4 linked regions of the Stegostoma tigrinum genome follow. Each later gene encodes a partner of the first gene's protein in a complex. Links are inferred from orthologs where the notes say so. Each region holds a gene or a part of one and is shown on either strand. Other genes may lie near its edges. The genes, in order: actin-related protein 2, arpc2, arpc5lb and arpc3.

Region 1 (6,988 bases):
GTAGTCTAAGGACTCATAAGATAGTGATCTCTGAAATTATGGTATGTCTGACAGAAACAAGAAAACTTGCTTCCACTTGTGCAGAGGACAAGAACTGGCAACTATGAAAAATGTTACCACAAATAAATCCAGTCAGAATCCAAGTGAAATGGCTTCACCAGAATGGTGAGCGGAACCTATCACCACAGGGAGCAGTCGAGGCCAGCAGCTCTGATGCCCTTGAAGGGAACTTAAAGAAGCATATAATGGAGAAAATAGTAGAAGGATACATTGATAGAAAACTACTCAAACCTAACAGACAATTCTCCTACGACATTCTCTAACTTTAAAGCTCATGACTTTTGAAGGATGTTCAAACCATTGCAGAAAAGACAGCAATCAATTTGCAAACAGCAAACGTCCTCAGCCAGACAAACAGTTAAACTCTTGCAATTCCAATACACAGATTTTGGGGGAAGCAGGGGGAATGGGTGAAAAGGGATAAAGTAGTGGAAGAATGGTGTTGGGGAGGTCAAGGAAAGCAGGTGGGGTTGGCAGGGAGGGTGAGGAGGGGATGGAAACGTGGGGGTTTGGGGTGGAATTTTGGGAGGGGAGGGGGGGCTGGAATTGTGGAGGGGGGGTTGGGTGGGGAGGGGAGGAGGGGGTGGAATTGTGGGGGGGGGTATGGGGAGAGAAGGAGGGGGTGGAATTGTGGGGGAGGTGGGGAGAGGAGGAGGGGGTGGAATTGTGGGGGGGGTGGGGAGAGGAGGAGGGGGTGGAATTGTGGGGGGGGGTGGGGAGAGGAGGAGGGGGTGGAATTGTGGGGGGGGTGGGGAGAGGAGGAGGGGGTGGAATTGTGGGGGGGGGTGGGGAGAGGAGGAGGGGGTGGAATTGTGGGGGGGGTGGGGAGAGGAGGAGGGGGTGGAATTGTGGGGGGGGTGGGGAGAGGAGGAGGGGGTGGAATTGTCAGGGGGTGGGGAGAGAAGGAGGGGGTGGAATTGTCAGGGGGTGGGGAGAGAAGGAGGGGGTGGAATTGTCAGGGGGTGGGGAGAGAAGGAGGGGGTGGAATTGTCAGGGGGAGGTATGGGGAGAGGAGGGGGTGGAATTGTGGGGGCGGTGGGGAGAGGAGGGGGTGGAGGGGAGGGAAGGAGGGGGTGGAATTATCAGGGGGGTATGGGGAGAGAAGGAGGGGGTGGAATTATCAGGGGGGTATGGGGAGAGAAGGAGGGGGTGGAATTATCAGGGGGGTATGGGGAGAGAAGGAGGGGGTGGAATTGTGGGGGGGTAGGGAGAGAAGGAGGGGGTGGAATTGTCAGGGGGTGGGGAGGGAAGGAGGGGGTGGAATTGTCAGGGGGTGGGGAGGGAAGGAGGGGGTGGAATTATCAGGGGGGTATGGGGAGAGAAGGAGGGGGTGGAATTGTAAGGGGGGGTATGGGGAGAGGAGGGGGTGGAATTGTGGGGGGGGTGGGGAGAGAAGGAGGGAGTGGAATTGTCAGGGGGTGGGGAGGGAAGGAGGGGGTGGAATTGTCAGGGGGGTATGGGGAGAGAAGGAGGGGGTGGGGAGAAAAGGAGGGGGTGGAATTGTCAGGGGGGTATGGGGAGAGAAGGAGGGGGTGGGGAGAAAAGGAGGGGGTGGAATTGTCAGGGGGTGGGGAAGGAAGGAGGGGGTGGGGAAGGAACGAGGGGGTGGGGAAGGAACGAGGGGGTGGGGAAGGAACGAGGGGGTGGGGAAGGAAGGAGGGGGTGGGGAAGGAAGGAGGGGGTGGGGAAGGAAGGAGGGGGTGGGGAAGGAAGGAGGGGGTGGGGAAGGAAGGAGGGGGTGGGGAAGGAAGGAGGGGGTGGGGAAGGAAGGAGGGGGTGGGGAAGGAAGGAGGGGGTGGGGAAGGAAGGAGGGGGTGGAATTGTCAGGGGGTGGGGAAGGAAGGAGGATGTGGAATTGTCAGGGGGTGGGGAAGGAAGGAGGGGGTGGAATTGTCAGGGGGTGGGGAAGGAAGGAGGGGGTGGAATTGTCAGGGGGTGGGGAAGGAAGGAGGGGGTGGAATTGTCAGGGGGGGTATGGGGAAAGGAGGGGGTGGAATTGTGGGGGGGTTGGGGAGAGGAGGAGGGAGGGGAATTGTCAGGGGGTGGGGAGGGAAGGAGGGGGTGGAATTGTCAGGGGGTGGGGAAGGAAGGAGGGGGTGGAATTGTCAGGGGGTGGGGAAGGAAGGAGGCGGTGGAATTGTCAGGGGGTGGGGAAGGAAGGAGGCGGTGGAATTGTGGGGGGGGAGGGTGGGAGAGTGGGGGGGGAGGGTGGGAGAGTGGGGGGGGAGGGTGGGAGAGTGGGGGGGGAGGGTGGGAGAGTGGGGGGGGAGGGTGGGAGAGTGGGGGGGGAGGGTGGGAGAGTGGGGGGGGAGGGTGGGAGAGTGGGGGGGGAGGGTGGGAGAGTGGGGGGGGAGGGTGGGAGAGTGGGGGGGGAGGGTGGGAGAGTGGGGGGGGGGGGAGGGTGGGAGAGTGGGGGGGGGGGAGGGTGGGAGAGTGGGGGGGGAGGGTGGGAGAGTGGGGGGGGAGGGTGGGAGAGTGGGGGGGGGGGAGGGTGGGAGAGTGGGGGGGGGGGAGGGTGGGAGAGTGGGGGGGGGTGGGAGAGTGGGGGGGGGGGTGGGAGAGTGGGGGGGGGGTGGGAGAGTGGGGGGGGGGGGGTGGGAGAGTGGTGGGTTGGTGGGTTAGTGGGTTGGTGGGTTAGTGGGTTGGTGGGTTGGTGGGTTAGTGGGTTAGTGGGTTATTGAGGTGGTGGTGTGACTGCCTCAGATACCACCCCCTCCCCCAATCCCAGACGGCGCCTCACTTCCTCATACCTTCCCCTGGGACGGCGGGCCGAAGAGCCAGCACTTACCCCAGTGCCATTGTCGCAGACCACCACCTTCCTACCCTGGCTGTCCATGGTCCGCTCCCGAACCGCTACCGCCCTCTGTCCCGGTGAAACTTTCCACCCGCCTCCCGACACCGGAAATCACTGTCCGCTCGCTCCCGCTCCAGAGGGCGCGCCGTTCCCACGTGACACTCCGCTTCCGATAGGCGTGGCCGGGTGCTGCCAGAAACGTCGTGATTGACGTGAGGTGGGCAGAGTGCCGTTGATTGGCAGTGAGGAGGCGGGGTCGGTAAGGACACTTCAATATTAATTGGTTGATAACGCTCCGCGCCCGGCTAACCAATAAACTTCGGGAAGCGACCGGTGGGCGGGACATTGGAGGGGGAAGTCTAAAATAAGTCTTTTTGAAGAATATTTAAGGTATCTTTTAAGTTCTAGTTCTTGTACTGTGATCTGATATTCTTTAAAGCTTAACAAAACATTTCTTCTCAGCTTGAATGATTGTTTTAATGTGATTGGTCCCTAAAGGGGGCCAATCAGAGTGCAGGGTTGGTTGCTATGGCGGCGGCGGTCGTTGGAACCTGGGCCTTTTCGCTGGCTGCGGTGGACAAGGCCCGGTTGCTGTTGGCGACCGGCCGCGGGGCCTCGGCCACCGTCCAGGAGGCTATGGCAGGTGATGTATTTTCATGATGGTCGTGCCGGCCTTTACACCCACAACAGCAGTTCTCCAAGTTCTAAAGAGTACCTGCTCCCTCAGCACTGACCCTCCGACAGTGCGGCGCCCCGTCAGCACTGACCCTCCGACAGTGCGGCGCCCCGCCAGCACTGACCCTCCGACGGTTTGCCCGCTCGCTCGGCGCTGACCCTCCGACAACGCAGCTCGTTTCCTTTGATAGATACTTTGTCATACAAACTGGAGACAGACCTTTCAGTCCATCTTATCCACGCCACTGGAGAATCCCAAACCAAACTAGTTCCATTTGTCAGCATTTGGCTCTTATCCCCATAAAATGGGGTGCAAGATACACCAGGAGATAGAAAAGCTGTGTAAGAAAGGCAAAGTCACAGTGATCATGGGGGATTTCAATATGCAAGTGGACTGGGAAAAACATGTTGGTAGTGGATTGCAAGCAAAGTAGTTTGTGGAATGTCTGTGAGATGGCTTTTTGGAACAGCTTGTGGTGGACCCCATGAAGGAACATGCAATACTGAATTTAGTGTTTTGCAATGAGACAGACTTGATAAAGGAGCTAAAGGTAAAGGAACCCTTAGGAAGCAGTGATTTGAGAGGGAGAAGATAGAAGTATTACAACTGAATAAAGGCGACTACAGAGTTATGAGAGACGAGCTGGGCAGAATTGATTGGAAGAAGAGCCTAGCAGGAAAGACAGTGGACAGCAATGGCGAGAGTTTCTGGAAGTAATTCAGGAGACACAGCAAAAATTCATCCCTCAGAAAAAGAAGCATGGTACAGAGAGGATGAGGCAACCAAGGCTGACTAAGGAAGTCAGGGTTAGAATAAAAATAAAAGAGTAATTAGTAATGTGGCAAAGGGCAGTGGGAAAACAGAGGACGGGGAAGCTTACAAAGATCAACAGAAGGCAACAAAAAAAAAGAGGGAGAAGATTAAATATGAGAGTAAGCTGGCCAGTAATATAAATGAAGGCTGTAAGAGTTTCTTTAGGTATATTAAAGGGCAAAAGAGAGCCCAAAGTGGACATTCCACCACTGGAAAATGAAGATGGAGAGATAGTGGGGAACAAGGAAATGGTTGAGGAACCGAATAATTACTTTGCGGCAGTTGTTAAGGTGGAAGTCATGAGTAATATCCCAAAAATTCAAGAGAGCTGGGGTGGAGCTGGGTATGGTGGCCATCACCGAGGAAAAGGTGCTGGTAAAACTGATTGGCCTGAAGGTGGACAAATCACCTGGATCAGATCGACTACACCCCAGAATTCTAAAGGAGATAGTGGAAGCGTTAGTGGTGATCTTTTAGGAATCGCTAGAGTCAGGGAGGGCCCCAGGGACTGGAAAATTGCTAATGTAACACCCCTGCTTATAAAGGGAGTAAGGTAAAAAAATGGAAAATTATAGGCTGATTAGCTTAACGTCTGTCATTAGTAGGATTTTCGAATCCATGTAAAGGATGAGATTTCTGAATATTTGGAAGTGGAGTGAAATAGGGCAAAGTCAGCATGGTTTCATCAAGGGGAGGTCATGCCTGGCAAATCTGCTAGAATTCTTTGAGGAAGTAACGAGCAGGGTAGACCAAGGAGAGCCAATGGATGTTGTCTACCTCTACTTCAAGAAGGCCTTTGAAAGGTGCCACACAGGAGGCTGCTGAATAAGATAAGGGCCCACAGTGTTAGAGGCAAGGTTCTAGCATGTATAGAAGATTGGCTGTCTGGCAGAAAGTAGAAAGTGGGAATAAAGAGGTCTTTCTCATGATGGAAGCTGGTGACAAGTGGTGTTCCACAAGGGTCAGTGCTGGGACCACAACATTTCACTTTGTACATGAATGATCTGGATGAAGGAACTGTGGGCATTCTGGCTAAGTTTGTGGACGATACAAAGATAGGTGGAGGGACAGGTAGTATTGAGGAATTGGTTCGGCAGCACAAGGTTAGGACATTGGGCAAAGAAGTGGCAGATGGATTACAACGTGGGAAAGTGTGAGGTCATGCACTTTGGTTAGAAGACTAAAAGCATGGACTGTTTTCTAAATGAGGAGAAAATTCAGAAGGCTGAAGTACCAAGAGACTTGGGAGATCCAGTTCAAGATTCTGTCAAGGTAAACTTTCAGGTTGAGTCCATAGTCAGGAAGGCAAATGCAATGTTGGCATTTATTTTGAGAGGACTTGAGGGGGCGATCTGATTGAAACTTTCAGAATACTGAATGGCCTGGACAAAGTGGATGTTGGGAAGATGCTTCCATTGGAGTCTAGGACTCTAGGACACAGTCTTAGAGTCAAGGGAACGTCTTTTAGAACGGACATAAGAAGAAACATCTTCAGCCAGAGAATGGTGGATCTATGGAAGTCACTGCCACAGAAGGCTGTGGAGGCCAGGTTATTGAGTACATTTAAGACTGAGATAGATAGCTTCTTGATTATCAAGGGGGGGTCAAGGTTTACGGTGGGAAAGCGGGAGAATGGAGTTGAGGAACTTAAGAGCCATGATTAAATGTCGGAGCAGACTCGATAGGCCGAATGGCCTAATTTCTGCTCCTATGTCATATGGTCTTAAACATTTTCTATTCACATCCCATCCAGATACCTTTTCGATGTGAATGTCCCCACGTCTGTTTCTTCGTCTGGGTTCATTGCCTATACGCACCAGCGTCTGTGTGAAAAAGTTGCCCCTCATGTCCCTTTTAAATCTATTCCCTCTTACCTTCAACCTGCACCATCTAGTTTTGGACTCCCTTACCCTAAGGGAAAGACCTTGACTATTCCCCTCATCTCTACCTCGCATGATTTTAAAAACTTCTCTAAGGATTTGGAACAGTTCTGTTTAATCTCCCGCGATTCCAAATTGTGTTCATAATCTTGTGTAAAAGAATTACTTTTATTTTTGTTCTGCAGTTTGTGATCTCAGGACGTCTGGAAAGGGCTGCAGAAATGTACTGTATAGAAATTCAGTGCAAAGTTTAACTTCAGGAGACGAGTCAAAGCCAACTGAGTTTGACCTGCCTGAATGTCTGAATTTTGTGATGCATTATGTTCTCGTCAGAAAGCAATTTTTGATTTACCCAATAAACAGCAAGCAGCAGACTTCGGAGAGGAAGATTAGAAATGAAGTGTTTGTTTTTCATGAGATTTGAGACCCCTGTGCACCAGTGTTCATAGCTCAACACAAATAGAGGTTGTGTAAGTTACTGCTAGCGAATCTATCAGCACATTTTTGGAAAGCATTGTGATTGAAACTTGATTTGATCTTTCTGTATCGCTTGTTGCACTGTGTGCTGTGAAACACAGGCTGAGCTGCATGATTGGATTAATGATTTTCAAGATCAAGACTTGTTATCATAAGACAGCATTTCAGAATCCAACTATGGCACATGTGGATTTTAAGTTAACTTTTTATTCAGATGATCAACTTATGATCAGCCATCGCAATTATGAAACAATGTTGTCATATAAACCTGTCAGGTTATTCGTATTC
Region 2 (7,207 bases), on another chromosome or scaffold:
GAAGCAAGGTCATTGGGGTCATTTAAGAGACTGCTGTACATGTATATGGTCACAGAAATTTGAGGGTGCATACATGAGGATCAATGGTCGGCACAACATTGTGGGCTGAAGGGCCTGTTCTGTGCTGTACTGTTCTATGTTCAATTAAGAGAAGTCCTCTGACAATTTGTTACCCAGAATATACAGGTAACCTGTTTCATATAGAACATTACAGCACAGTGAAGGCCCTTCAGCCCTTGATGTTGTGCCGACCTGTCATACCGATCTCAAGCCCATCTAACCTACACTATTCCATGTACGTCCATATGCTTATCCAATGACGACTTAAACGTACCTAAAGTTGGGAAATCTATTACCGTTGCAGGCAAAGCGTTCCATTCCCTTACTACGCTCTGAGTAAAGAAACTACCTCTGACATCTGTCCTATATCTTTCACCCCTCAATTTAAAGCTATGCCCCCTCGTGCTCGCCATCACCATCCTAGGAAAAAGGCTCTCCCTATCCACCCTATCTAACCCTCTGATTATTTTATATGTTTCAATTAAGTCACCTCTCAACCTTCTTCTCTCTAATGAAAACAGCCTCAAGTCCCTCAGCCTTTTCTCGTAAGACCTTCCCTCCATACCAGGCAACATCCTAGTAAATCTCCTCTGCACCCTTTCCAAAGCTTCCACATCCTTCTTATAATGCGGTGACCAGAACTGTACACAATACTCCAAGTGCGGCCGCACCAGAGTTTTGTACAGCTTCACCATAACCTCTTGGTTCCGGAACTCCATCCCTCTATTAATAAAAGCTAAAACACTGTATGCCTTTTTAATAGCCCTGTCAACCTGGGTGGCAACTCCACATCCTTCCTATAATGTGGCAACCACAACAGCATACAATACTTCAAGCATGGCCTAAAGTTTTATACAGCAACATGACTTGCCAACTTTTACACTTAGTGGCCTGACCAATAAAAGCAAGCACGCTGCACACCTTCTTTCCCACCTATCCTCTCGTGCTGCCACTTTCAAGGAGCTTTGGACTTCCATCTCAAAATTCCTGTTTACCACAGTTCCTCAGGGTCCTGCCATTTACTATACAACTTCCTCTTCTATTTGCCCTCCCAAAATGCATCACCTCACATTCGTTCGGATTAACCTCCATCTGCCATTTCCCTGTCCAACTTTCTAAGTGATCTATATACTGTTGTATCCTTTGACAAACTCTCCTATTATCCACAACTCTATTTTTTGTGTTGTCTGCAAACCTACGAATCAGGCCAATTACATTTTCATCCAAATCATTGTAAAACACAAACAGATGTCCCAGCACAGACCATAGCAGAACACCACTGGTCACAGAGATCCAGTCAGAAAAAAACACTCTTCCACTATTACCTCCTCTGGGCCAGGCCAATTTTGAATGCAGCTTGCCAACATACCATGGACTGCATGCAACTTAATCTCCTAGAGTAGCCTACCAGGATGGACTTCATCAACTGCTTTGGTAAAGTCCATGAAGACAACATCCACTACCCTACCCTCAATCATATTCATCATTTTCTCAAAAAAATCTATTCACATTCGTGAGACAAGACCTTCCCGTAATAAAGCCCTGCATATCCCTATTAAGTCTATTCTTTGCTAAACGTGAATAAATCCTGTCCTTAAGAACCTTTTCCAATAATTTCCCTTCCACTGATGCAAGGCACGGAAGCCTACAATTTCCTGGACGAGCCCTATTGCTCTACCTAAACATGGAACAACACTAGCTAGTCTCTAGAATTCTAGGACGTCAACTGTGGTGAAAGAGGAATCAAAGATCTCAGTCAAATTCCCAGCAATCTCCCCCACTGCCTCCCTCATTATCCTGAGATAGATGTCATCAGGTCCTGGGGATTTAGTGTTTTTAAAGACACTCACCACCTCGTCCTCAATATGAGCATGCCTTAGAACATACTCCATCTGAGATTCACCATTCAACATGGCCTCCTTTTTGGATACTGATGTGGAGTGCTCATTACAGGCATTTCATCTGGTTCCAAGTATAAATTCCTTTAGTGCTTAACTGGACCCCAGTGAGCCTCTTGCTCCTAACATAGGTTTATAAAATGCCTTGAGATTCACCTTAATCGTACTTGCCAAGGACATTTCACGGCCCCTACTGGCCCCAATTTCTCATTTAAGTTCTTTTCTGCTTCCTTCCTCAAGGGCCTTGTTCGATTTCAGTTTCCTAAACCTTACATATGCCTCCTTTTACTTTGTGACTAAACTTTCAATATTCCTTGTCACCCAGGGGAGGGGAGGGCTGGGTGAGGGAGATCCCAGGGTGGGGGTAGGGGTGTGGGAGAGAAGATGAGGGGGATCCCGTGGGAGGCGTATGCTGGTGGCGGAATCAGGGGAATCCAGGTGTTGCGGTAGGGAGATGAGGGGGATCCTGGGGGAGGGGTGGGCTGGTGGGGGGGGGGGGGGAATGTGGGGGATCATGGGGTGGGGGGGAATCCCAGGGGGAGGGGGTGGGGGGAAAGAATCCCGGGGGGAGGAGTGGGGAGGGTGGGGGGGGAGGAGTGGGGAGGGTGGGGGGGGAGGAGTGGGGGGGTGGGGGGGGGAGGAGTGGGGGGGTGGGGGGGGGAGGAGTGGGGGGGTGGGGGGGGGAGGAGTGGGGGGGTGGGGGGGAGGAGTGGGGGGGTGGGGGGGGTGGGGGGTTGGGGTTGGGGGGGGAGGAATCCCGGGGGGGGAGGGGAGATGAGGGGGATCCGGGGGGAGGGGTGTGTCCGGGTCGGGGCCTGAGCTGAGCGCCGGCCCAGGAGCCTCCCTCCGCCCGGCAATGAAGAAGCATTTCCCGGGTCCGTACCCCGCGAGCGCATTCTCCAACTTGAGGCTGAGGGTTTCCTCCACGATGCGGTTGTTAATCTCCAGCAGGATCATGGCGGCAGCGGCAAGGAACCCGGACACAGTCTCGGCCTCTCCTCCAACTCCAGACCCTCTCCGGAAACAAGGCCCAGCCACACCCGCAGAACCACTTCCGCAGCCGGTCAGCGCGGAGCAGGGGCCTTTCACGACCCCGGGGCATCCTGGGATATCTCACCACCATTGCTGGATTATTTCCCCAGACTTCTGAAGCCCTTCAGAGAAATATCATCATATCTGCCTAGATGAGACAAATGGGAAGAAGTGAGAAGCAGATGAAAAAAAATAAACGGACTGATGTTAACTTTCAGCAGATGGATGATTTCACAATGAATTTAAAATCTTGAGCGATAGTTGTAGGTCTCTGAACTTGCACGCAAACTTGGACCGCTTGGAGGATAACTGTTGTTAAGCAAATTTAGAGAAAGAGCAAGTGGGGAAGAAGGTGTGAGGTAAAAGGTATATCTGTGATACGGTGAATGGTAGGAAATATTAAATCAAGGGTTGATGTAGAGAGAGTGTACATCTTGAGGGTCATAACTGGTTAGATGCCTGTTAAACAGCATGAAGCAAGGTTGGATTGTGGCTTCCCAAATATTTCATCTCTTTGTTCCTGTGAACCAAGAACAAAGAACAAAGAAAATTACAGCACAGGAACAAGTCGTCAGCCTCGAAGCCTGCGCCAATCCAGATCCTCTATCTAAACCTGTCATCTATTTTCCAAGGATCTGTATCCCTCTGCTCCCTGCCCATTCATGTATCCGTTTAGATACACCTTAAATGATGCTATCGTGCCTGCCTCTACCACCTCCACTGGCAACGCGTTCCAGGCACCCACCACCCTCTGTGTAAAGAAATTTCCACGCATATCTCCCTTAAACTTTTCCCCTCTCACCTTGAACTCATGACCCCGGTAATGGAGTCCCCCACTCTGGGAAAAAAACTTCTTGCTATCCATGCTGTTTATACCTCCCATGATTTTGTAGACCTCAATCAGGTCCCCCATCGAACTCTGTCTTTCTAATGTAAATAATGCTAATTTATTCAACCTCTCTTCACAACTTGCGCCCTCCATACCAGGCAACATCCTGGTGAACCTCCTCTGCACCCTCTCCAAAGCATCCACATCCTTTTGGTAATGTGGTGACCAGAACTGTACGCAGTATTTCAAATGTAGTCGAACCAAAGTCCAATGCATCTGTAACATGACCTGCCAACTCTTGGACTCAATACCCCGTCTGATGAATGAAAGCATGCCATATTGCCTTCTTGACCACTCTATGCATCTGCGTTGCCACCTTCATGGTACAATGGACATGAACACCCAGATCTTTTCATGTACCAATTTTCCCCAGGGCTTTTCTATTTACCACATAGTTCACTCTTGAATTGGATCTACCAAAATGCGTCACCTCGCATTTACCTGATTGAACTCCATCTGCCATTTCTCTGCCCAACTCTCCAATCTATCTATATTCTGCTGCATTCTCCAACAGTTCCCTTCACTATCTGCTACTCCACCAATCTTAGTGTCATCTGCAAACTTGCTAATCAGACCATCTATACCTTCCTCCAGATCATTTATCACAAACAACAGTGGTCCCAACATGGATCCCTGTGGAACACCACTGGTCACAGTTCTCCATTTTGAGAAACACTCTTCCACTCCAATCCCTCTCTCCTGTTGCCCAGCCAGTTCTCTATCCATCTACGTAGTACACCCTGGATCTCATGTGACTTCACTTTCTCCATCAGCCTACCATGGGGAACCTTATCAAATGCCTTATGAAGTCCATGTACATGACATCCACAGCCCTTCCCTCATCTATCAACTTTGTCACTTCCTCAAAGAGTTCTATCAAGTTGGTAAGACATGACCACCCCTGTACAAAACCATGTTGTCTGTCACTGATAAGCCCATTTTCTACCAAATGGGAATAGATACTATCCCTCAGAATCTTCTTCAGCGGCTTCCCCACCACTGACGTCAGGCTCACTGGTCTATAATTGCCTGGACTGTCCTTGCTACCCTTCTTAAACAAGGGGACAACATTAGCAATTCTCCAGTCCTCCGGGACCTCACCATGCTCATGGATACTGCAAAGATATCTGCTAAGGCCCCAGCTATTTTCACTCTCACTTCCCTCAGAAATCTGGGTTAAATCCCATCTGGACCTGGGGACTTGTCCATCCTAATGTCTTTTAGAATACCCAACACTTTGTCCCTCCTTATGCTGACTTGACCTAGAGTAATCAAACATCTATCCCTAACCTCAACATCTGTCCTGTCCCTCTCCTCAGAGAATACCGACGCAAAGTACGCATTAAGAATCTCACTCATTTTCTCTGACTCCTCGCATAACTTCCCTCCTTTGTTCTTGAGTGTGCCAACCCTTTCTCTCGTTAGCCTCTTGCTCCTTATGTATGAATAAAAGGCTTTGGGATTTTCCTTAACCCTGTCTGATAGAGATATTTCATGATCCCTTTCAGCTCTCTTAATCCCTCATTTCAGATTGGTCCTACTTTCTCAATATTCTTCCAAATTTCATCTGTTTTCAGTCACCTAGACCTTTTGTATGCTTCCTTTTTCCTCTTTGCTAGTCTCACAATTTCACCTGTCATCCATGGTTCCCTAATCTTGCCCTTGCTATCCCTCATTTTCACAGTGACATGTCTGTCCTTTACTCTAATCAATCTCTCTTTAAAATCCTCCCACATATCAAATGTGGATTTAATCTCAAACAGCTGTTCCCAATCCACATTCCCCAGCTCCTGCTGAATTTTGCTATAGTTGGCCTCCCCCTAGTTCAGCACTCTTCCTTGAGGATCACTCTCATCTTTGCCCATCAGTATTCTAAATCTTACGGAAATGTGATCACTATTCCCAAAGTAATCCCCTACTGAACCTTCAACCACCTTGCTGGGCTCATTTCCCAACACCAGGTCCAGTATGGCCTCTTCCTGAGTTGGAATATTTACATACTGCTCTGGAAAACCCTCCTGGATGCTCCTTACAAATTCTGCTCCATCTGAGCTCCTAACACAAAGTGAATCCCAGTCAATGTTGGGAAAATTAAAATCTCCCATCACCATCACCCTGTTGCTCCTACATCTTTCCTTAATCTGTGTACATATTTGTACCTCTATCTCATGCTTGCTGTAGAGAGGCCTGTAGTACAGCCCCCACATTGTTACCACACCCTTCCTATTTCTGAGCTCTGCCCATATTGCCTCACTGCGTGAGTTCTCCACCATGCCCTCCTTCAGCACAGCTGTGATATGCTTGTTGGCCAGTAATGCAACTCCTCCAACTGATCATGTGAATGCTTCAGCCTTATTTTTTGCACTAATGTGCTGGCTTCTTTCATCAATGAGGATGGGGATATTTGTGGAGCCTCCTTCCCCAGTGAGTTGTTTAATTGTCCACCACCATTCACAGCTGGAAGTGGCAGGACTGCAGAGCTTAGATCTGATCCATTGGTTGTGGGATTGCTTAGCTCTGTCTGTCACTTGCTGCTATTGCTGCTTGGCGTGCAAGTATTCCTGTTTGTGGCTTCACCAGGTTGACACCTCACCTTCAGGTATGCCTGGTGCTGCTCCTGGCATGCCCTCCTGCACTCTCCATTGAACCAGGGTTGATCCGCTGGCTTGATCGTAATGTTTGAGTTGGGGATGTGGCGGGCCATGAGATTGACTTAGGATTGTATTCGCTGGAGTTTAGAAGAATGTGGGGCATCTCAGAAGATTAGAAGAGGGAAGGATGTTTCTCATGTTGGGGGAGTCCAGAACTAGAGGTCATTGTTTGAGAATAAAGGATAAACATTTTAGGGCTGAGATGAGTGGAATTTCCTTCCCTAGAGACTGGTGAGTCTGTGGAATTTACTCTCACAGAAAGTGATCGAGGCCAAAACATTTTTTTTATGTGGAAGTTAGATATAGCTTTGTGGTTAAAGAGATCAAGAGATATGGTGGACGTGGGATTAGGGTATTGAGCTTGATCTTCAGCCATGAGCATATTGAAAAGCAGAGAAGGCTCAAGCATTTAAATGGCCTATCACTGCTTCTAATTCTATGTTTCTATGTGCAGTAAAAAATCTGGCAACAAGTGGCATGTCAGTCTGAATTTGAGTATAGATAAAATAAGTCTTGCTACATTGTACAGGGATTTGTTAAGACCACATCTGGAATATAGATTTTTGGGAATGCAATTTTTGTTGAAATACTTAAGGAAGGTCATACTTGCATTTGAAGTGGCACAGTGAAGGTTCACTAGGTTGGTTTCTTGATTAAGAGGGTTAATAATGAAAAGC
Region 3 (7,413 bases), on another chromosome or scaffold:
GGATTGTGCTTTTTGGGTATACATTCTTTTTAAATACTCTGTATAAGTGCTCCTGGCCTGCTTTTTGCACAGACTACAACTGGAGACAACATGGCCAGAAACACTCGTCATCCTACAGACCCCTAAGTATCAGGGTACCCCACAAACCAACAACACCCTGTGACAGTAAAGCATTCCACACCAACAACCAAGAAAACTAATGTAATATACAAAATACCATGCAAGGACTGAGAAACATTGCACAGGCCAAAGTGGAAGAAAACTGACAATAAGGATACACAAATACACATTAGCCACTAAGAGACACAACCAATTCTCACTAGTCTCAATACAAGCAGACAAAGAAGAACATAAATTTGACTGGGACAACTCATCCATAACAGCACAAGCCAAACAGTGACATGCCAGCGAATTCCTGGAAGCCTGGCATTCCAACCAGAACTCCATCAACATACGCATTGAACTGGACCAAAGATACAAAGCACTGAGAAACAAAACCGGAAGTAACGCCAAACACCCCAGCAAACCAAGGCACATAAATAACAAGCGGGACAGAACATCGATGCTTCACCAGAGGTGCACTGACAATGTCACTAGCAGGATGACGATAAGTCTGCGATCAAACACACCAGCTCGGTCAGCAAGTCTCCAAACTAATCCAAAGCTGTCCTTTCTAATAAGCGAGATTTTAAAATCACTGGCATGTTCAAAATATCTCAAGCCTATATACTTACATTTTGGACAGTTTGGATGCAGCTCCTCCAGTTACTTTTGCCACACGGAGCTGGGAGAGTTCAACCTTGAGGTCATCCAACTGTTTCAGTAACTCCTCCTTTTTCTTGCCGCGCAGATCACGTGCCTTGATTTTTGCCTATATTTAATAAGAACCACCATGTTACTGTCACACAAACAAAGCCTCCAAGTGGACTCGATCAACAGTACACACATTCGAAAACTGAAGATAATACAAGTAGCTGTTAATGCTATATGGAGCAAGAGTTGGTCCTTCAACTTATCAGGTTTTTCAGCTAGATCTTTGCTAACCTGTACCTTAAACCCCATTTAGCAGTTTCTAATCCAGATAACCCGTAAGCAGAAATTTATTAATCTAAGAATTTTGATTGACCCAACCAGTACAGCTTTAGAGGGAGAGTTCCAGATTCACAGTACCAATAAAGCCCTAATTACAATGCCACAAGGTGCAAAGTATAGCAACTTTAACAAGTAAAATATCTCAAGGTATTTCCAGAGGCTTCATAAAACCAAGATTTGGTACTGAGTGACATCATACAATGTTAGAGTAAAGGGCCAAAAGATTGGTCAAAGTGGCAAATTTTAAGAGATGCTGCAAAGGAAGAGTGGAAGAGATGTGTGTGTGTGTGTGTGTGTGTGTGCGTGCGCGCGCATGTGTGTGGGGTGGCTGCTTTTGTTGTTGAGGGTGCAAATTCCAGAGCTCGGTAAATGCAGTGCTGATCACTGTGTATAGGAAGGTCATGATTGCACTAGAGGGCTCGCACAGGAAATTCACCAGGATGTTTCCTGGGATGGAGTATGTTAGCAATGAAGAGAGGTCAGATAAGCTCAGGCTATTTTCCTTGGAGCAGAGGTTGAAGGAAGAACTGATTGAGGTGTACAAGATTATGAGGGGCACAGACAATGCAAATAGATAGCAGCTGTTCCTCTCAATCAAGGGGCCAAGAGAAAAAAGGCACACTTTTAAAGCAAAAGACAGGAGGTTTCAAGGGGAATGAGAGTCAAATCTTTTCACCTAAAGGGAGGTGAAGTTCTGGAATGCACTGCCTGAGGGCAGCTGAGATGTGTAACTGTAAAACATTTAAAAAGTACTTGGACAAACACCTGTAGTGTTATAACATTCAAGATTATGTGCCTTGTGGGAAAATAGGACGAGTGTAGGTATTAGCATATTTTTCACAGTACAGACTCAATGGGCCAGACAGCTTCTTTTACACTGTACGATTCCATTCTGAGTGCACAGCTGAAACCATAGCCACCAGTGATGGAGTGACAGAATTTGGGGATGCTCAAGGTGACAGAATCAGATGAGTGCATGTAACCAGGAGTGGCGGCAAGCTGGAGTTGACCACAGAAAAATATAAATATCAAGCCAGAGTGGCTTCCAAACAAAAGCAACTAGAAATGAGCAATAAATGCTGGCCAGCCAGCAACACACACATCACATGAATGAATTTCAAAAAAAGACACTATTCAATATGAAAGAGATAATGGGAACTGCAGATGCTGGAGATTCCAAGATAATAAAATGTGAGGCTGGATGAACACAGCAGGCCAAGCAGCATCTCAGGAGCACAAAAGCTGACGTTTCCGGCCTAGACCCTTCATCAGAGAGGGGGATGGGGGGAGGGAACTGGAATAAATAGGGAGAGAGGGGGAGGCGGACCGAAGATGGAGAGCAAAGAAGATAGGTGGAGAGGGTGTAGGTGGGGAGGTAGGGAGGGGATAGGTCAGTCCAGGGAAGACGGACAGGTCAAGGAGGTGGGATGAGGTTAGTAGGTAGCTGGGGGTGCGGCTGGGGGTGGGAGGAAGGGATGGGTGAGAGGAAGAACCGGTTAGGGAGGCAGAGACAGGTTGGACTGGTTTTGGGATGCAGTGGGTGGGGGGGGAAGAGCTGGGCTGGTAGCAACTCATATTCCGCCTGGGAACCCTGCAGCCATATGGTATCAATGTGGACTTCACCAGTTTCAAAATCTCCCCTTCCCCCACTGCATCCCTAAACCAGCCCAGTTCATCCCCTCCCCCCACTGCACCACACAACCAGCCCAGCTCTTCCCCCCCACCCACTGCATCCCAAAACCAGTCCAACCTGTCTCTGCCTCCCTAACCGGTTCTTCCTCTCACCCATCCCTTCCTCCCACCCCCAGCCGCACCCCCAGCTACCTACTAACCTCATCCCACCTCCTTGACCTGTCCGTCTTCCCTGGACTGACCTATCCCCTCCCTACCTCCCCACCTACACCCTCTCCACCTATCTTCTTTGCTCTCCATCTTCGGTCCGCCTCCCCCTCTCTCCCTATTTATTCCAGTTCCCTCCCCCCATCCCCCTCTCTGATGAAGGGTCTAGGCCCGAAACGTCAGCTTTTGTGCTCCTGAGATGCTGCTTGGCCTGCTGTGTTCATCCAGCCTCACATTTTACTATTCAATATGAAACTCCTTTTCCCATTCTTCTCAAAGTTACGAGGATCAAATCTGCAGCGAGAAGTACATTCACCATTTTACCAGATGGGTACACCCACAACACTGAAGAAATCAGACTAGTGCAACAAACCAACATGCTTGAACACTGCAACCATCACTGGACACCCACTAGTTGTACTGCAGCTAAATATCAGAATTCATCACAACTCACCAAGCTTTCTCTAACAACACCTGACTAGCCCAGTAACCACTATCACGAAGCAGAATGGAAAAAAAGATGAAGAGGATCACTATCAATAGGTTTCCCTCTTGAGTCACCAAGAGGAGTTGACCCTGATTTCTTCACCTTAAGAAACCCCCAAAACCTCACTGCAGTTGGGAAGATAGCAACTGAGGCATCAAACGAAAAAGCTGCTCACAATCGGAAGGGAGAAGCAACAGGACCACTATTATCGCCAATTTCAAAGACGTATAGAAATGTGGAGTAAAACCAAGACTTTCTTCGGCGGCGGGGTGGGGGGGGGGGGGGGGGTGAAGACTGAAGCTGATATCGTTGAGCAATGCCACGGGTGATCCAGCGGGACGTCTGGAGTCGCAACAACTGTCTAAACGCTCAGGCAGCTCCCGCCTGATGTGCCCCTCCCGCAGACTCCGCTCGACAGGCCCCGCATCTCCACAACTCCCAATGGCGGGGCTACCTACGCGGACCAGGCAGCGGGGCCGCCATGTAAAAATAAGAGACACACCGCGGCCTGCGGATCATCCGTCGCAGTTTAAACATAAAATCTAAAAAGAAATCCTAAATAACTGGCGGAGCCGATAAAGGGGAGCCTGAGGATTCACAAGAGCCAGCTACTCCCGCTGTAGAGCCAGTAGTTTTTCGGGATGAATTAGGATTCTCCAGTTAGCAGGAGCAGACAACCTACAGACTCCTACCATTTTCTTGGGCAAGCGCAGGAAAAGACAGGCCTCGCGGGCGGGGCCTGTATTTCCACGTGATAGGACCTACCATCCATTTCACGGAGGGGAGGATTCAGCGCGATCCATTATGTCAAACGTTTAACTTTACACAAACATCGTCGTCTTTTAGAAACCTACTTGTTTTATTTTCTTTATAGCCCGTCGTTGTAACTCATTTAACGACGGGGTTCAGTCATCATTGAGTTTTGTTGATTTTGCTTACCGGCCCTCTCCCTGAGATCGTGCATTCCAGAGACTGTTTCCGGTTCCGGGTCGAGGTTCGGCAGGCCCCGCGTTTGAGTGGAAGCAGCGCGATCGCCCGGCGCCGATGCAGCCTCCGGCTCAGTAGGTGCGGGTGTCGGCGAGGGAGTGGCTTATCGTCCCCATTTAACACTTGCTCTTTTAACATAAGTAGGGGCAGATGGCGAGAAACACGCTCTCCAACAGGTTCCGGAAAGTCGACGTTGACGAGTACGATGAGAACAAGTTTGTGGATGAGCAGGAGGAGGCGGTGGAGCAGCAGGGGCCCGACTCGCTGGAAGTGGACACTCTCATCAGGCAATATCCTTATGGCCCGTCTCCCTCTGCGTGCGCGTGTTTGTGAGAGACCAGGCGCTGGCAGAGCGCCGCATGACGCCGGGAGGGAAGGTGACAGCTCTCCCCTCCCCATGACCACGGACCTCTCACTCTTTTTCACCCCCTGGGAACCGCACCCGCTCTCAAACTGCTGCCGACTATTAACTGCGCTCCCGGGCAGCCTGGAGCACCCTCGACTGAAGTTAATGGCATTGCTTTCGCACTCATCCTTCACTGGATTGCTTCATTTTCATCGAGTTTGTCACTTAACTGACGACTTCAGTGTGAGTTTATTATATCATGTGCAGAATTTGTCATTTTGGAGATTTGTTTAAATACCTTTTATTTTTTTAATTTCCAATATTTACCCCGCTGTGATCAGCACCTTAAGTCCTCAGTGTGGAAATGGGTGGAAGTACGAACGGGGTTACTGCTGCTCACTTTGTCCCTAAAAATAGCAGAGAGCCACCATTGTACAAGCTGTGATTGTAGTAACAATCAAATGTCAAATGAGACAAAAGATAAAGCCACCCAAAATGACATAAAAGAAATCAATTTGTCAGAACTCAGTTCAAGCTCCAAGCATACCGTCGCTAAAATGAAATCATGATCCCAAAAACGTTGTTCCACCATCCAACTGGCACTGCAGCCCACCGTTTGGGAACCCTTGATTTGAGATTTTGTTCAAGTTGGAAAATAGCGATCATTTTCAGTCACAATGTTAATGTACAGTGGTATTTGAGCATTTTTAGCCAGGTCCTGCATTCTTGCAAATATATAAATTAGTTACAGGACTAGGCCACTTAACCCCTCTGCCATTCAATAAGATTCTTGTGCACTGCCAGTGTCCCTTGAGCCAAATGGCCTGGTTTAAGTCCTACCGGCTGCACAGGTTTGACATAACACTTCTGATAGATTGAGAAAATAAATTGAATTTGATTGTGGCTGATCTGATTACTCCACATAATATTGTGTGTGGTTGAAAGATTATCCCCACCTTTGTCATAAATCTATTTACTTCTGTCTTAAAAAATTCAAAGACTCTTCTTCCATCACTTTTTGTGGAAGACTTTTCCAAAGACTGATGACTTTCTGGGAAAATTCTCCATATCTGCCCTAAACAGGTGACCCCTTAGAATCTCCCACGAGAAGAGACTTCCCTTCCATATGCACCCTGTCAAAGCTTGTCAGGATTTTGCTTCAAACAAATCACCTCTTACTCTTCTAAACTTCAGAATTAAGGTTAGCCTGTCCAGCTTTTCTTCATAAGACAACCTGCCCATTCCAGTTGTGAGATGATAAAAACTGAAAAACCTGTTGACAGAAACAAAAAACAGGAATTTCTGGAAAGCTCAGCAGGTCTGGCAGCATGTGAAGAGAAATCAGTTAATATGTTTTGGGTCTGGTGACACTTCCTCTGACCCTGATTCTGATTTCTCTTCACAGATGTTGCTAGACCTGATGAGTGTAATAAACCTTCTTTGAACTGCTTCAAGGATATCTTATTTCTCTCCTTCAATAAGGAGACCAATACTGTATGCAGTACTATAGACAAATGCCCTGAAAGGCTGAACAGTAATCTACATTTGTATTCAATTTCCTTTACAATAGACAGATTCTATTAGCTTTCCTAAATACTTGCTGTACCTGCACACTAATCATGTGATTCCTTTGAGGATACCCAGATCATACTGCGCCTTGGAGCTCTGCAAACTCACATTTATGTAATGCTTCTGTCTAAATCTTGCAGTCAAAATAAGCATTTTTACATTTTCTCAACTTGTATACCATTTCCCACATTTTTGCTGACTCATTTAAACTATGTTCCTTTGTAGCCTCCTGTGTCCTCTTTTAGTTTACTTTCCTACCTGTCGTGGTGCCTTTAGTGATTATACCTTTGGTCCCTTTGTCCAAGCTGTTCATATAAATTAAAAGTTGAAACCCCAGTACTGATTCTGTAGCCCATTACGACTTAGATTTGCCAACCAAAAATGATCTATTGACACTTCTGTTTCCTGTTAGCTAGCCAATCTTCTATCCATGTTATTTTGAGATGGTTGCACTGTTTAAATGAACTTGTTTTGCTTTCATAAGGTCACTTTTTTTTTGTTGGCATTGTGTGGGTGTTGTTGGCAATGCCAGGATTTATGTCTGTGCCAGTTGCTATAAACTGGTGAATGACATTCTTGAATTGCTACTGTGCATGTACTGGCTCAATGTTTGTGTACAAAATCAATTTTTCTGTGCCATGAGTTCTGAATCACCATAATTTTTAACATTCATTCACAAGAATGGTGTATCTATGGCTAGGCCAGCATTTGTTGCCCAATCCTAACTGAGATGGTGTAGTCTTGAACTGCCACCATCCGTTCATGGATATGTATGCCCATGGCACTATTTGGAAATGAGTCCCAGAATTGCTGGATGATTAACTAAAATTTTTGTTCTGGAAAAAAAAACTCACCAGTTTCTATAGTGTTGTTGGATTTATTACAGATTAACCTCACTACAGTCATAAAGGTCCTGCAAATGATGTGATTTGTGGCACCAAAATGCTGCTACTCCATTGGAGGCACAGATAGGAAATCAGGAAACTGAAGTCTTAGTCAAGTAGGAAAATTGTTCAGAGGTTTTAAAGAAAACTTTTATCCCCCTCAGACCATTTACTTTCCCACTACTTATCTCTTACCCTATGTCAAACAC
Region 4 (7,320 bases), on another chromosome or scaffold:
ACACTGTCTAAACATAATCACACTACTTTTGTGCCGAAGTGATTTCACTTTGTTATACTACACGACGCATTACTCCCTTGAATACACGACAAATTATTCATGTACTTTATTTAAAAAGAATCTTTACAATTGACAAATCAGAAAACAAACCTACCTTTATTTCATAGTTTTTGAAGAAAACATTTGCCTTAAAATAGTAGATTGCTTCATCAATGACATCAGTGTCTTTAGCTGGAAAAGATCATTATTGATAACCAAATCTTAAATCCTTAAGCATAACAAAAAATTAACAGTTTGAATTTGTTGTCCCCAGTTGGGAGATAGAGTCATAATTACAGAAGTCAATAACACAGAAAGCAGCCCTTGGGCCCACAGAGTCAAAAAGCACCACCACCTAAATATTCCAACCACATTTTCTTCACAGATACTGCCAGACCTGAACTTTTCCCGCAACTTCTGCTTTTGTTTGTGATTTACAGCATCCGCAGTTCTTTTAGTTTTTACCTTTTGGATCAAAATGTTTTTCTTCTCCTTTGCTCTAAACTTCCTGTCTCTTATGTCTAATCTACGGCCTCTTGTCATCGATTCCTCTCTCTCCTCCCCTCACCCCACACCACACCAAATGAGTTTACTCCTTGATTAAACTTCAAAGTTGACCCATTCAGGTAGTCATTTCAATCATCAATTAAGTCTTCTTTCTACAGGCAACTATGTTCCAATCAAAACAAAAAGCGTGTCCTCTTGGTTTTAACTAGAATGCAGTGTCTGGCCTCCTTGGCTGAAAACCCACAACTAATCTAATATGCACCTTGTTTCATTAACTGTTGCAAATTACATAATTTTAGCTTATATTACATTTGACTTAGAATGTAAAACAACATTTAGACTGTCACGCTGGCATGCTTTCTTTGGCCATCAGGTGGACGGTACAAAAAAGAAACAAGCTTCAGCAAATTTTTCACCTCCTTCCAACCCCATACATGACTAACCTTAGGAGAAACAAGGGCAGTGGATGTGTGGGAATATCCCCACCTGTAAGCTCCCCTCTAAAACACACAAGTTTCTCGTTGGAACTATATCAGAATTCTTTCATCGCTGCTGGTTCAAAATCCTGGAATTCCCTCCCTAACAGCATCATTGCTATATCAATATACCACGTATTGCAAACGTTCAGAAAGGCAGCACAGCAGCACCTTCTCAAGGGCACTTAGAAATCGGTAATAAGTGCTGGCCTAGCCATTGATACCCACATTCCATGAAAGTTTTTTTTAAGAAATCTTATCTTCCTATGACATTTAAAAAGTATAATTGCACTTTCCCTCGCTATTCTCTCAAGCTTTCTTCACCCAGCAGAAGGATTCAAAACGAGGAACCAGAGTTCTAAGGTAAGGAGCAGAAGTTTTAAAGGGGTTTGCAAAATTCCACCCAACCCCAAACTGGGTTCTGGATATTTCGTACTCACTGCCCAAAAAGGGTAGCAGAGGTAGGAACCCTCAACTCATTTACAAACTATTTAGACAAGCAGTTGAAATGCCATATAGCATGCAAGGCTACTGACCAAGTAATGGAACATTACAATAAATGATATTTGATGAAGGTCATGGACATGGTAGGCCTCGGAGCCTCTTTCCATGCTCTCAAACCTGAATGACAGTACAACCTACACCAACACGTCGACTAACAGCGCTCTTAAATACAGTTACCAGGCCAAAGAGTGACCAAAAGTAACATTATAAAAAGAAATACTACTTTTTGAAACTTCAGTATCTTTCCAGAGAACCTAGCTGATGTTTGCGGGTGCAAGTTGCATGCTGCATGTGTTGAACTAGAATTTTTGAATGCATTCAACAATTCAATTGGAGTATTTTTCAATACACTAGCCATGCACTACATGTGGCTAATCAGAAATCCAGCTGTGGAAAACTGCTTTTGACAAGGCAAATTTTAATCAATAGAGTAACACATGGTCAAACTGCCTCTGCATTTGGTACTTAAATCAAAACAAGAGCAGGAGTACATTTAGCCTTTACTCCCCTTGTTACCAAATGATAGTAGATATGATAAAATAAATATACCCATGCAAGGTACATTTCCCAAAGCAGTAATTTACATCACAACCACACTGCTGTATGGAAATGTGTCTATTTGTAAACTAAAAAGTGTGCTTTTTCCCTGGCACCAAGATTTTTTTTGAAAGAACTTTCTACAATTATTAACTGGTTTAAATTACAAAACTAACACTTAAACTGTTTCCCTATGCATAACTGTACAAACTGATGCAAGTGTTGTATAATTCAGTTTTCATAAAATCAATCTCAAAACTTACTTTCCTTAGGAGCTGGTCCTTTAAATTGTGTTTTAAGCGGCAATAATGCCATGTTTCCAATCAGTTTTACATCACTATCCATAAGGGTTGAATGATAAGCCTGAGAGAGAAAAAGTACAATTAGAAATGCTGTCCTTCCCTAGTATACCGACTCAACTGGCATATTTCTGTCAAATATATTCCTGATTTTAAGATTGTATTCGTAGGTGATTAAGATCAATACTACAGACCACAACTTCCAGTAAAACGGATGCAGGATGCTCCATGAAGGTTAGCATCAAATAACATCATTGAATTAAAGTAATTCACTTCATTAAGCTAAAGGTGACAAAATACACAGTTCTCTCAACCGTACATTTTTGGACCAAAGACACAAATATTTTTTCTTAATAATCTTGCTTAGGCCCAAACGGCCTACTTCCTGATTTTTCACATCCACTCTGATTTTTCAGTTAACTTCCATCAAATAACATGAGTTTAGGATGCTCCGATACAGGAAGGTGTTGGGGGATTAAATAAAAACCCTTCAAGAAACTTACCGGCATTTTACAACCTGCAACTGAACAAGCGCCCAGAATAAATTGGTTCTGCTTCGGTCACTCTCAGCTCTTCCGCCAGTCCCACCCTGTCGGTGACGAGCGCGGCGTCAGGCGGCGGTGCGGGAGTGAGCACGGCGAACGCTATTCCCACGTGACACGAGATAGAACCTGGCGAAGGATCCTCTGATGAAGGGTCTAGGCCCGAAAGTCAGCTTTTGTGCTCCTTAGATGCTGCTTGGCCTGTTGTGTTCATCCCGCCTCACGTTTTATTATCTTATGAAGGATCTGCACGTTTTACTGGAGGATTTTTTCCCCCCCGACCCTTCCCCATCCGGGGGGGGGGGGGGGGGGGTCAGTTCAGGACTGCAGTTCTCAATTTACTGATTCAACTTTCACTGGAGTATTGCAACTAATTCTGGGCCCCACACAGTAGGACCTATCAGAGGATACAGGAAGGATTCAGAAGACGAGTCACAGGCATGAAGGACTCTGGGATGTATGTGAGAAGTTGGAGAGTTGTTGTCCTTGACGAAGCATAGAGGTGATCAAGGTCAGAAATCTCATCACATCAAGTTATAGGCCAACAATTTGAAAACATAAGCTTTCAGAGTCGAAAACATGGTATAAAAACAATAAATGGTACTGTATTAAACACCAACAAGCCACGACCAGTTCTCACTGGTCTTACTATACACAGACAAAGAAGGACATGAATTCGACTAGGACAACACATCCATAATAGCACATGCCAAACAGAAACAAGCCATGGAATTTCTGGAGGCTTAGCATTCCAACCAGAACTCCATCAACAAACATGAACTGGACCTGATATACAAACTACTGAGAAACACAACGGAAGTGATGCCAACGGAAGCATATAAATAACACGCAGGACACAATACTGACACTTCATTGGAGGTACATTGATGTTACCTAGCAGGGTGACAAAACATCTGCAAACACACCAACTTAGTGAGCAAGTCTACAACCTCGTCTACAACCTCATCCACAAACCAAGCTACAAATCTTCTCAAAAACAAGTCTGTCCTTTTCTGTGAGATGACAAGGTGTAGAGCTGGATGAACACAGCAGACCAAGCAGCATCAGAGGAGCAGGAAGGCTGATGTTTCAGGCGTAGACCCTTTGTGAGGAAGGATCTAGGCCCTAAACGTCAGCCTTCATGCTTCTCTGATGCTGCTTGGCCTGCTGTGTTCATCCAGCTCTACACCTTGTTATCTCAGATTCTCCAGCATCTGCAGTTCCTACCATCTCTATTCTTTTTCCATCACTAACACAATAGAATTATGGTCACTGGCCCCAAACAGCCTCCCCCACTGACACATCAGTCACCTGCCTGGCCTTATTTCCCAAGAGTAGGTCAAGATTTGCACCTTCTCTGCTAGGTACATCCACATAATCAGAAAATTTTCTTGTATATGCTTAAATTCCTCTCCATCCAAGCCCTTAACATTATGGCAGTCCCTATCTCTGTTTGAAAAGAGAAAATCCTCTACCATAACCACCCTTCAACTAAAATGAAAGTTCTCCTAAATAAAAGAAATTCAAGGGCAGCATGGTGGCTCACAGCATCAGAGACCCAGGTTCAATTCTAGCATTGGGCAACATTCTGTACAAACTCCACACATTCTCCATCTGTGTGCATAGGTTTCCTCCCACAGTTCAAAGATGTGCAGGTTAGGTGGATTAGCCATGGGAAATACAGGGTTAGTCTGGATGGGATGCTCTTTGGAGAGTCAGTGTGGACTTGTTGGGCTGCATGGCCTGTTTGTACACTGTAGAGATTCAATTAATTTATACACCTTTAGTCAATCTGCAAATTCCAACCTTATCAGAATATATTAGTCTAATTAATGATATCTCCAGTCCTAGGTACATGTTTTCATTCACCCAGACAGGGATTGCTTCATGTTATGCTAGCCTGATACTGTTGACCTCAACCCTTCTCTATTTATTCTAACCCCCATCCCAGAAGGTGAGGGTTGTTCCTCCAGGTCGTGTTGAGCTTCGCTGGAGGACTGCAGCAGGTCTGAAACAGAAATGTTGGCATGGGAACACAGTGGCACGTTGAAGTGTCAAATCACTGGAAGGTTGGAGTCATTTTTGTATACAGAATTTCATAAAGCAGTCACCCAGTCTGTTTTGTCTACACAATATAGAGGATTGTGAACAGCCAATACAGTGACTACATTGAATGAAGTGCAGGTAAGTCACCGCTTCACTTGGAAGATGTGTCTGAGGCTTTGCAGTGAGGAGGTAAACAGTCAAGTGTTGTACCTTGTTTGAACGGGTGCCATGGAGTTGTTTTGGGAGTCAAGCAGGGCATTCTGGAGGAAACGATGCCTACAAAATGCTGACAAAGAAGGGGAGGGAAATACAAGTCTGGTGGTGGCATCCCACTGGAGGTGCCGTATATGGCAGTATATGATCCTTTGGATGCAGACTAGTAGGGTGGAAAAGTGAGGATGGAGGAGTGCTGGCAAATGGACTGGATATCCCTATTAATAAGTCACTTAAGACTTACTAATTGCTTGTTGCACTTGCGTTGTAAGACAAATAATGTGTGGACCTTAAGTGGAGACTATTTGATTACAGGAGTAAAGTCACAGTTGTATAAAACCTTTAACTCCTCAAATGGAATATCGTGTACAGATTTGGTCTCATTACCTGCCATACAAGGAGTGAATGAAAGATTCACCAAATAAATCCCCAGGATAATGGAACTGCCTTATAAAGTTAAGATTGTGGGTCTCTATTCCCTAAAGTTTCAAAGATTGAGGAGTGACCTCATTTGAAACTTACAAAATTCTTACAGCGTGTGATCAGGTGGATGTGGAGGCTTAGGCTGGGAGCACCATATTAGTTTAAAGAGGTATGCCACTTAAGACCAAGATGAGATGAATTTCACGATGAGGGTGATGAGAATCTTTGGAATGCTGTGTCCCAGAGTGCAGTGTGTGTTCAAATGAGAAATCAATTTGGAGACTAAATTTCACAAGGGATATAGAGATAGTACAGGAACATGACAGAGGGATGGGTAATCACCCAGTCAAAATAATGGGATGGCAGAGAAGGCTTAACAACACACCTGTTCCTATGTTTGCCTGCCTGACACGTGGTAAGCTGATAGGCCTTTCCCAGCAGAAGCAGGATGGGATCCTTAACTGGGCATTAAAGGACTACAATTGGCCCACCATGGTGCAAGTCAGCAGATTGTCTCCCCACCACTAGTAAAATTATAATGATGACAAGTGAGTCGGCAACAACTATGACACCTATTGGACTTTGTGTTCTCATGCCTTCAAATCCACTAACTGTGTTACATCCAGTGCACAGATCATGTCTTGAATTATATACAGATGAAATGCCATCTGAATAAATTGAATCAACACTTAACTTTTATGGTCTCTCCAGGGAACTGTTCCCTAGACAAGCCACTGACCGACATTATTCTTGCGGATTCATTTTGCATTTACCATTCCACCGTTTAAACAAAGCATGTTCTCTAGTTCTGTATCAACAGCTTGATTTGAAATTAAAACATCATAACTGACATCACCACTGACACATACTGCTTTAAAAGTGAAAATTAAAAAAAACAGCAGTGCAATGGGTCACTGAAATAATGCGATAATGTGACCATTCTTGGTAAAAAGGCTGCAAAGATACTAAGTATGTTATAAGGTTAATCCCTCTGTTAACCCTATGATAGTCCCTATAATGTTAATCAATGGCATTACAATACTAAATCATTCCTTTCACAAATCCACTTTGATAATCTTTAGTGATTTTATTTCTATCCAAGTGGTCCATATTCTCTCTTTAGGGAGGCTTTGTATAATTTTATACTCGTGACAAATTCACAACTTACCTTCATGCAGTCACAAACAACTTGCCACTACACAATGATTTCTGGAAGATTTATGCCAGAATTTCTGTAATTTTCTCTTTAATTCTTTAAAAGATTTTCAAATGCATTTTACCCAACTCAAGTTCAAGTTTCCACACCTATTAGACAACCATGCTAGTAGTAATATGAATGGTGATGAGAAACATTGTCTCTTTCCTTACCCACTTCACTTTCCAGATAATTTTAGTTTTATTTAAACCTCAAAAAGGAGACAGCCAAGGCAAATAACATATTTAGCATCTTTGCAGCCTTTGTATCAAGAGTTGTCACATTATCACATTATTTCAGTGACCCATTGCACTGCTGTTTTTGATTTCCACTTTTAAAACAGGATGTGTCAGTGGTGATATCAGCAACTCAGCCTCCCAAAATACAGGCTTATGGCTATGAATCCAGGATACTACCCAAAAACAGTGAACAAAAACAAAATTGCCAGAAAAGCTCATCAGGTATGAAAGCATCTGTGAGGAAAAAGAGAGTGTTAAAACTCCAAATTAATATTTACTTTGAATTTTAAATTTGCTTTG

The links.
Region 2: actin-related protein 2 (region 1) and arpc2 share a complex: the UniProt entries of both Homo sapiens proteins name them as parts of the arp2/3 complex. The link is inferred for Stegostoma tigrinum from reciprocal best matches to the Homo sapiens genes ACTR2 and ARPC2.
Region 3: the proteins of actin-related protein 2 (region 1) and arpc5lb are in contact, whole or in part, in a cryo-EM structure (PDB 6YW6), measured with the Homo sapiens proteins. The link is inferred for Stegostoma tigrinum from reciprocal best matches to the Homo sapiens genes ACTR2 and ARPC5L. Residues at the interface, in NP_005713.1 of Homo sapiens: Tyr225, Glu263, Phe266, Gln267, Arg319, Lys322, Gln323, Ser338; in NP_112240.1 of Homo sapiens: Arg11, Arg12, Val13, Asp14, Ile15, Asp16, Glu20.
Region 4: actin-related protein 2 (region 1) and arpc3 share a complex: the UniProt entries of both Homo sapiens proteins name them as parts of the arp2/3 complex. The link is inferred for Stegostoma tigrinum from reciprocal best matches to the Homo sapiens genes ACTR2 and ARPC3.

What each region holds. Positions count from the first base shown.
Region 1 is NC_081362.1:2,370,564-2,377,551, reverse strand, and holds the start of actin-related protein 2, read right to left. Parts: upstream 3,020-6,988; 5' UTR 2,897-3,019; coding exon 2,849-2,896; intron 1-2,848. Other genes in the region: zgc:153169 (N(4)-(Beta-N-acetylglucosaminyl)-L-asparaginase), read left to right, coding at 3,383-3,497. UniProt on the Homo sapiens protein: ATP-binding component of the Arp2/3 complex, a multiprotein complex that mediates actin polymerization upon stimulation by nucleation-promoting factor (NPF).
Region 2 is NC_081360.1:104,225,877-104,233,083, forward strand, and holds the start of arpc2 (actin-related protein 2/3 complex subunit 2), read right to left. Parts: upstream 3,009-7,207; 5' UTR 2,916-3,008; coding exon 2,842-2,915; intron 1-2,841. UniProt on the Homo sapiens protein: Actin-binding component of the Arp2/3 complex, a multiprotein complex that mediates actin polymerization upon stimulation by nucleation-promoting factor (NPF).
Region 3 is NC_081382.1:26,288,328-26,295,740, forward strand, and holds the start of arpc5lb (actin related protein 2/3 complex, subunit 5-like, b), read left to right. Parts: upstream 1-4,394; 5' UTR 4,395-4,555; coding exon 4,556-4,695; intron 4,696-7,413. Other genes in the region: rpl35 (large ribosomal subunit protein uL29), read right to left, coding at 735-871, 4,111-4,113. UniProt on the Homo sapiens protein: May function as component of the Arp2/3 complex which is involved in regulation of actin polymerization and together with an activating nucleation-promoting factor (NPF) mediates the formation of branched actin networks.
Region 4 is NC_081379.1:24,235,474-24,242,793, reverse strand, and holds the start of arpc3 (actin-related protein 2/3 complex subunit 3), read right to left. Parts: upstream 3,001-7,320; 5' UTR 2,872-3,000; coding exon 2,866-2,871; intron 2,427-2,865; coding exon 2,327-2,426; intron 232-2,326; coding exon 155-231; intron 1-154. UniProt on the Homo sapiens protein: Component of the Arp2/3 complex, a multiprotein complex that mediates actin polymerization upon stimulation by nucleation-promoting factor (NPF).